2 linked regions of the Macaca fascicularis genome follow. The protein of the gene in region 2 purifies or fractionates together with the protein of the main gene of each other region. This does not show direct contact. Links are inferred from orthologs where the notes say so. Each region holds a gene or a part of one and is shown on either strand. Other genes may lie near its edges. The genes, in order: XRCC4 and PNKP.

The links.
Region 1: the proteins of PNKP (region 2) and XRCC4 purify together in Homo sapiens (co-immunoprecipitation; 5 studies listed by BioGRID and IntAct, counting the BioPlex papers as one, with this or other methods). This does not show direct contact. The link is inferred for Macaca fascicularis from reciprocal best matches to the Homo sapiens genes PNKP and XRCC4.

Annotation. Positions count from the first base shown.
Region 1 is NC_088380.1:87,127,991-87,131,802, reverse strand, and holds part of XRCC4 (DNA repair protein XRCC4), read right to left. Parts: intron 1,830-3,812; coding exon 1,674-1,829; intron 570-1,673; coding exon 463-569; intron 1-462.
Region 2 is NC_088393.1:57,844,401-57,848,602, forward strand, and holds the end of PNKP (bifunctional polynucleotide phosphatase/kinase), read right to left. Parts: intron 4,080-4,202; exon of another isoform or gene 3,765-4,079; coding exon 3,685-3,764; intron 3,607-3,684; exon of another isoform or gene 3,598-3,606; coding exon 3,540-3,597; exon of another isoform or gene 3,433-3,539; coding exon 3,325-3,432; exon of another isoform or gene 3,100-3,324; coding exon 3,028-3,099; exon of another isoform or gene 2,562-3,027; intron 2,074-2,561; coding exon 2,025-2,073; intron 1,944-2,024; coding exon 1,873-1,943; intron 1,799-1,872; coding exon 1,706-1,798; intron 1,611-1,705; coding exon 1,514-1,610; intron 1,441-1,513; coding exon 1,379-1,440; intron 1,220-1,378; coding exon 1,110-1,219; intron 1,029-1,109; coding exon 941-1,028; intron 823-940; coding exon 761-822; exon of another isoform or gene 678-760; coding exon 560-677; 3' UTR 516-559; downstream 1-515. UniProt on the Homo sapiens protein: Plays a key role in the repair of DNA damage, functioning as part of both the non-homologous end-joining (NHEJ) and base excision repair (BER) pathways.

The sequences.
Region 1 (3,812 bases), on a different chromosome or scaffold from region 2:
TCTCACTTGTTGTAATCCTTTTTTCTGAAGAGTGAAAGAAGGCCTCAGCTTCCGTATAATTTAGAGCATTCTTGATTACTTTGTTCCAGTGGCCTATCGATGGCTTTAGCTAAATAAAATCTCAAATCTTAAAGGCAACCAGCTTTAAGCTGAAGATATTTAGCATAAAGGTGTATCTTCCTCATTGCTTATGCTTTTCCTGGTTATATTTAACCAGGAATAGTATACCTTGGAGTATATGTGTATGAATGCTGGCTCACATTGCTGTGCTAACGAGTTGCTGCATTTTACAAATAATATTAAGTTTTAACATTAAAAATTTGAGTCTTTAAAATAAAAATGCTAAAGAATTTTCATAGAATAAGGTTTTTCACACCATTTTTCCATTATGGTTTCTTGTCATTAGAGTAAGAAGCCCAAGTGAGATATTCAACAAAGGAGATAAATTTATATCTCTCTTACCTGAAGCCGACCCAGAGGGATCAGGTTGGTTTTCATTTTCCTCATCAGTACTCTCATCATAGACTGGATCTCGGTCAGCTGTCATTTCAGAACAGATTGTAGTTTCCCTAGAAACAGAGACAGGTAGAATTATAAATCATTGGCTCACCCCCTGCTAGGCAGCAAATTTACCAGTAAGTAATTATAGAAAATATTTCTGGAAAAAGATTCTAATTAGACAAACATATTGAAAATTTATATGACTTAGATGAAAGCATCTTAAAACCTATATATTAACTCTCTTAAGAACAAGTTTCTCTTTTACCCAATTTTAATCTGAATTTAGTACTCATTATAATTAATATTAAATCAGTTTCTTATCAGGTACTATTCTTCTATCAAAATACTTTTTTCTACCAAATTATCTCTGTGAGTCACAGGGTATTTAACATTTTACTAATCTCAGAGCAGTTCCTTATTTCATTTGATCTCTGCAAAGTCCTAAGATGGGTATCTTTACCTTTATTATGAAAAAAAAGTGATGTGTCCAAAGCTATAAACTAATAGGTATGACTGCAAGACCAGTACCTGTACTAGGACTAGCTGATATCAAATTTTTTTATACTATGTCACTAGTAATTCTGCACTTTTACTAAGATTCAAAGCAATAGACCCTAACGTGTATTTGCTAATGTGTAAAAAAGTTATAATCGTTGAAACCCATATCAGCCATTTGTCACTTACGATTCTTCCATAAAAATCAAGTACATATCTACTCTCAGAGAAAACGTTAAAGAAGAATAAGATTGGTAATCACACTGTAATCAGGTAAAATAAATGCTCCCTGGAATTTAATATTAACAACTTGATTCAAAAGTTAACTATTGCCTAGACATCAAGATTACAAATATGCATCCAACTTTGTAGTTCTGCAGATGAAAGGGTTTTTAAATTAATATTTCTTACTAATGTCTAAGAATTAAATAATACTTTAATAAGCCTCATGTCAATTTTTAAATTTAAGTGTAGGTGAGACAGTTGAGCAGACATGGAGCGAGCATGCTGAGAACTCTCTAGCCCATGGCACCCGTCTAACAGCCTGAGCATCCACATCCAGTCTACCAAATTATCTCATATGACCAAAAAGTTGGCACCTAATGTTCATTAACTTTGGGAAGAAATTCCACTTAAATTTATACATCTGTCATCCAAAAACTAGATAGCCAAAATACCCTTCTTGTTTGATGTCCTTTTCTTGTTCTTGAGCTGTATTTAATAATTTATTATGCAAACTTCTGATTTTTGTTTTCTTCTCATTCAACACCAGAATAAACCGCTTATAAAGATCAGTCTCCAAAGCTTCCTTAGCGTTCACACATTTTTCAAATCTGAAAAAGTAAGTAAACAAATTAGTCATGCAGTTCTGCTTACCATTAACATAATTCAATCTAATAATCAAGAAGATTTCAATAAAATTTTTCAAAGAAAATACAATTAAAGATTATTTTCACATATGCTTTCACTGACTTAAAAGTTTTATAAAGATGGTTAAATACACAATTAGAAATTATTGTTATTCATGTAATTCATGTACTGAGATAAGGATCAAAATTGAAAATTGATACAAATTAGCCTTTAGAAAATCAAAATGCCTAAAGATAATAATTTATTGACATCTATGGTTTATTTACAAAAGAATGTTTTTATGGGATAAATTTCAAACAAGAGTAAATGTAGCCTGTGTTTCCTCAGTACTATGTTAATATTACTATAAAAGCAACTACAATCTTGTTTTGTGATAAGGCAATACAGCTAATTTGTCTTGACTGCTCTACTAGACAATGAACTGCTCTACAACAAGAACACGACTTATCCAGTTATATTCTTATAAGCGAGCACCACACACACACACATACAAATACATATAGAAACACAATACACATATACAATGAAAGTATTCTACTTGATATATCCAAGGAGAGATTAATAAAACAGCAAATGTAAAACACTACGTATCTTCAAATGTAGATACCTGAGACAAAACATAAAATTCTCTATTGTTTATAATTCGTCCTACACTTCTCAATGAGCTAACAGGGGATTGTATTTATTTTAAGCTCCCAAGAGAGATATAAAGTAAAGAAAGCAAAATAGCTGAGGTTGTATATACTTAAAATGTGCACACGCATACATGATGAATACATTCTTATTTTAGAGATTCAAATACAAATTATTTTATGTATTCTTTTCAATGTCGTTTTATACTGCTTATTTACATTGTTGTTGTTCAATATACAAGTATCCTAGTATTTTTATGCTGTACATAAACACACACACACATATATACCAGTAGTAACATATATGTGTGTACATATACAGACACACACATATATATTTCAGTGAAATTAGAAACACAAATGTCCAAATTAGATACCTTTTATATACACACCCTTAAACTTTCAACAATCTACCTATCTAGAGATGCAAAGAATTCAAACCTCTCATAGGATAAAAAGGAAAATATGGCAATATATTCTCTGGGACCAATTTCAGCAAATTCTTATAGCATAGTCTTTGCCAAGGATGTGAACTCCAGGAAAGCAGAGAGCATGTGTGTTTTACTGGCCATGGTATCCTCAGTGCCCAGCATAGTGTTTAGCATTCTACAGAGGTTTGGTAGGTTCTTATCAGACAAACGAATAAAGTGAGGAAATTAATATGGACATCTTTTTGGTTTATTTGTTTTCCCAGGTTTACTGCTGATTTATTACAAGGCCTCAACAGTGCTTTATTTTTTCTCTTCAACATCCTATTCTGCAGCTTCCTTGGTCCTTTTTGCCCAGAGGCCAAAGAGCCAGGCATTGATATGGCAGGTTTTTGTTTTGTTTTGTGTTTTGTTTTGAGACAGAGTTTCACTCTTGTTGCCCAGGCTGGAGTGCAGTGGCACGATCTCGGCTCACTGCAACCTCCGCCTTCTGGTTTTAAGCAATTCGCCTGCCTCAGCCTCCTGAGTAGCTGGGATGACAGGCGCCCGCCACCATGCCCGGCAAATTTTTGTATTTTTAGTAGAGACAGGGTTTCACCATGTTGGTCAGACTGGTCTCGAACTCCTGAACTCGTGATCCGCCCGCCTCAGCCTCCCAAAGTTCTGGGATTACAGGCATGAGCCACTGCGCCCAGTCTGATGTGGCAGTCTTGAAGTTCTCTTCCTCTTGGTGATGACTCTGGCTTTCTCCTTCTTATAGGTATTCCATATGAACATTACTGGTCCTGTCAGTGTGATGGCCAATTTGAGTTCTTCAGTGTAGCCGTCTCCCTTCTTGGAGGCTGAGGTTCCTAGAGAAGGAGGATAAGCTTCCAGCAGTACTCCT
Region 2 (4,202 bases):
CCTGGGGACTTCAACTGCCCAGCAACATGGAGGATGGTGTCCTGAGGCCTCCAAGGATGGTCCCCACCCCTCTACGTTTCCCTAATAAAGCCTTTTAAAAACCTGCCTGCCCCCTCTACTCACTGCCCCATGCCTGGCAGCCCCCTAGCCATAAGGTGGCCCAGCAGGCCTGGACAGCCTGCAAACTCACTGGCTCTCGGCTGCCCACACCCTCTTCCCCAGCAATCTCCAGATCCACAGGCCCTGGGTTCAAGTTCAGGGGTCACACCTGGCCTTGAGCGAGCCCCTGGGTTGGGGCTTGTGGGCTCACCAGCTGGCTCTCAGGCAGCCAGGCAGCGCCCTGCCCTGTGCGTTCCCTGGCTAATGTCTAACATGCCCATGCCAGGTCCCAGCAAAGCTGGAATCCCTTCTGTAAGACCCCACCTTCTGTTACCGGAAAATGTCCCTAAAGCCTCCATCCATGTAAAAAACTGCCAGGCCTGGAGCCCCTCCTCCCAGCAAAATGCCGGCCAAGCTCAAGGAGAAACGACATTTATTGTGTAGGGGAGCTGGGCGGGGCTCAGCCCTCGGAGAACTGGCAGTACAGCCGCTCCAGCCTCGGCTCCAGGCACAGCCGGAACGGGATCTCCAGGATGGCAGAGAAGCCTTCGGCCAGCGTCGGGGCCTCGAACTGCTTCCTGGCAGTGGTGGGAACAGTGAGGGACAGCCTGGCTCATGTGGCCCCGCCATTGCCCCTCCCCCCTGCCGTCCCCAACAGTACCTGTAGCCATACATGACCATGTCTGATACGGGGACATGAGAGGAGTCCGTCATCTCTCGAAACTGTGGGGATATCAGAAGGGGCGAAAGGCCCAGGGGTCAGGGGAGGGAGGGGGCACCTGGGGGTGAGGAGGGGGGTCGGGGTGCATCCCCGGGGGGTGACCGGGCCTAGCGGGCTCACCCGGTTGTTGTGGCGCGCCTGCTCCAGAGTGGCGGTGAAGAGGAAGCAGCGGCAGGGAAAGCCCGCGGCTCGGGCGCACTGGACGTACCTGTGGGGGAAGGAGCTGGATGTGCAGGCCCCGCCCACCCCGCCGCAGGCCCCGCCCACCCTATCGCAGGCTCCCCGCTACCTGGCGCGGCTCGCGGAGTCCGGGTTTGTGTTGTCGATGGCGACCCGTTTCCCTTGCTTCAGGGCTGTCTCACACGCGGTCACACAGCGCTGCCAGGAGCCTAGCGTGTCCTGGGGACACGAGAGGTCACAAACGGATCCGGAGACCCGAGGGGAGAGAAGACCCAGAGCGGGGTCGGGGAGGCAGTGATGGAGGGAAGCCGCCCCAAACTAGTTGAGCGGTGGAGATGGGAACTGAATAGATTCGGGGCGGCCAAAGCCTAGTCATACCCTGTTCACATGGACGTATCCGGCCGACACGAGGTGCTTCTTGAGAAAGGTGGACTTCCCGGCTGTGTGGGGGGCAGTGTCGGTGGGTGGCCTAGGACCCCGGAGGGGCTCAGGGCACAGGGGCAGGGCACTCACCCCCAGGGAATCCCACAGCGACAACCACCTCCGGGCTGGAGCTCAGGAGGGCCCTGGACTCGGGGAGGCAGAGAGGTCCTGAGCGGGAGAGAGTCCTCTGCGAGGGGAGGGGCACACGCGTGAGACGCTGTCCCCGTCTCCGGGAGCCCTCCCGCTCCCACCCCCACCCCCACCCCCACCCCAGGGCCTCACCGGGTCAAAGGCTGGGAGCTCAAAGCCGGCTGCTGGCCACTTCAGGAAGAACTCCTCAGGCGTGGCGAAGGGCAGGCCAAGGTTGAGGGCAAACTAGGGGTTGAGAACGGACATCAGACACAGGCCCGGGTCGGGCTCGGGCGCGGGGCAGCGGGCAGGGGCCTCACCAAGCGATCTGCGCAGGAGAAGTCTTTCTTCTTCCGCCCTGGGGCCCAGTTGGCCGGGCGTCCGGCTGCGTCTGGAACACACGGGACACACTGTCCCCACCAGCTCGGAGGGAGGGGTCCCAGCCCACCCTCAGCAGCCTCCAGGCCCTTACCTCCCACAAAGATGCTGTCCCGGATGGAGATGGGCGCGCCCTCGTTGGCCTGCAGGAGATGGCAGTGAGGAGGCCCTTCCCATAACTGTCCCGCCGCAGCAGTAGCGGGTCCCTGGGGCTGCTTCGCCTGGTCTATGCCGCGCATCAGGCCTCATCCTCCAACTTTTCATGTCCCCACCATCCAGCCACTTTGCACCGTGCTCCTGGCCCTGTGGTCTCTCCACGCAGCCCCCTCCCTCCAGGCTTCCCGGCTTCCGCCTCCGCCGGTTCCCCACGCGGCCACCAGAGGGCGCCCGCTCTGCCTCAGCTCCAGCCTCCTGGGGGCCAGCGCCTCCCAGGCTCCCCCTCCCTCAGGGCAAAAGCGGGGCCCTCCCTGTGGCCCTGCCCTCTCCCCTCCCTCGCTTAGGGCCAGCCGCATGGGCCTCCCTGTCCCTAACTAGCCCAGGCTAGGGGCTGCCTCAGGGCCTTTGCACTTGCTGTCACTCCTGTGGGGGGGAACCACTTTCCCCAGGTGTCCACGTGGCTCCCTCCTTCCTCTGTCTTAGGCCTTTTCCTCGGATGTCACCTCCTCAGAGGCCATCCGTGCCCACCACAGCTGAAACGATGCCTGCTTTCTCCACCTCCCTCCCTCCCACTGTTTTACACGCCAGTCTGCCCATCCGCCCAGAGTCACGGCCCTCGCCGTGCGGGCCCCGCTGGAGCAGGCTGTCCCGCTCACCGCTATCTTCAGCTCAAGAACGTGCTAAACTTCAGAACAAATGCACACACAAACGAATGAAGGAAGGAATGAACAGCTTCCCTCTCTACTACTCTGATTTAGAAAGTTTAAGAACATTGGTCTCGTAAACCAACATCTAAGATGTGACAGCAAAAAAACAGAAGGCAGGTCCGAGGGAGGACAGGAGGAGTAAGGAAGCCCGGACCTGGCCGGAGAGCGGGGAGCCCAGGAGTAAGGGGCTGGAGCGAGGAAAAGGAGGGAAGCCGGGCAGACTGCGAGACTCACCTGCTCCTGCAGATGGTCCCACATGCCTGTCACTGGCTTCCGGTACAAGCCTGCGTGCGTGGCCACCAGCACCTGTGGATGGGAGGGGGCCACCAGCCTCAGCTCCTCCTCAAGCACCTACTGGATGCTACCCCAGCCCTCACCCAGCCAAGCAGAGCTACAGAATTTGTAGCTGATGATGGGTTCTTATCAGCATCACACCGCCTGAGGCCTCTGCCCCACTTATCCTGGAGTCTGAAGCCCTCTCTCCAGATCTGTGTGACCCCACATAGCTCCCAGCCTCCCTTCCAGCCATACCTGGAAGGGGACCCCCAGCTTCTCCACCACAGCCTCCACCTTGGCCTTGAACTCTTCGGCTGGCAGCTTCCCGCGCCCGATGCTCATCTGGTTGGTGAAGATCACCAGCTGGGGAGCAGAGAGTGTCACGAGGCGCCTGCTCACCAGGACCTTGGTCTGACCTGAGGTCGGACCGCCACCTGCACGCGCCCATGCAGACAGGCGGCTGCACATACCTTGTAGCCCTCGGCTTCCAGCTCCCGGAGCTTACGCGGAATCTCTGGGTACAAGATCCTAGGGCAGGTAGGAAGCGGGAGGGGTGACCCGGGGCCAGAGGTGGACTCCAGGCCTCACTCACTCCCTTGTTTTGCCTCTTATCACCTCCAGTCACTGGGGCCAGTGGGAAAGACCTTCCCAGAGCGTGTGGTGATGAGGGTCCCGTCCAGATCAAAGCCAGCCACCTGGTGTCACCAAGGAAAGAGGAACAGCAGCACTGTGATACCTCTGACCCTCTCCACTCATAGGCTGACTCACACCAACCCTGCCATCTCACAGATGGGGAAACCAAGTCACAGAACAGCTCCATGTCAAGCATCCGTGAAGCCTCTGAGTGCGGCCTGACATCTTAACCTTCCTGTCTCCTGTTCCTCCTCATGACCCCGGCCCCAGGATTACAGTCTTTAAAATGGGGGTTAATGTCTTACCCAGCCTCCTTCCTCCCCTGGCCTTCTCCACCTTGGTGGGCTGCTAATCGTGAAAATAAAAACAGGAGCAAAGCTTTGGGTGCTAACTGCATGTCAGGGACTATGCCACGTGCTTTTTATGGATTCAGCATCGTAGAGACGAGAGACATGGGACTCAGAATGTGGTGGTTAACAGCATTTGAACTCAAGTCTCTC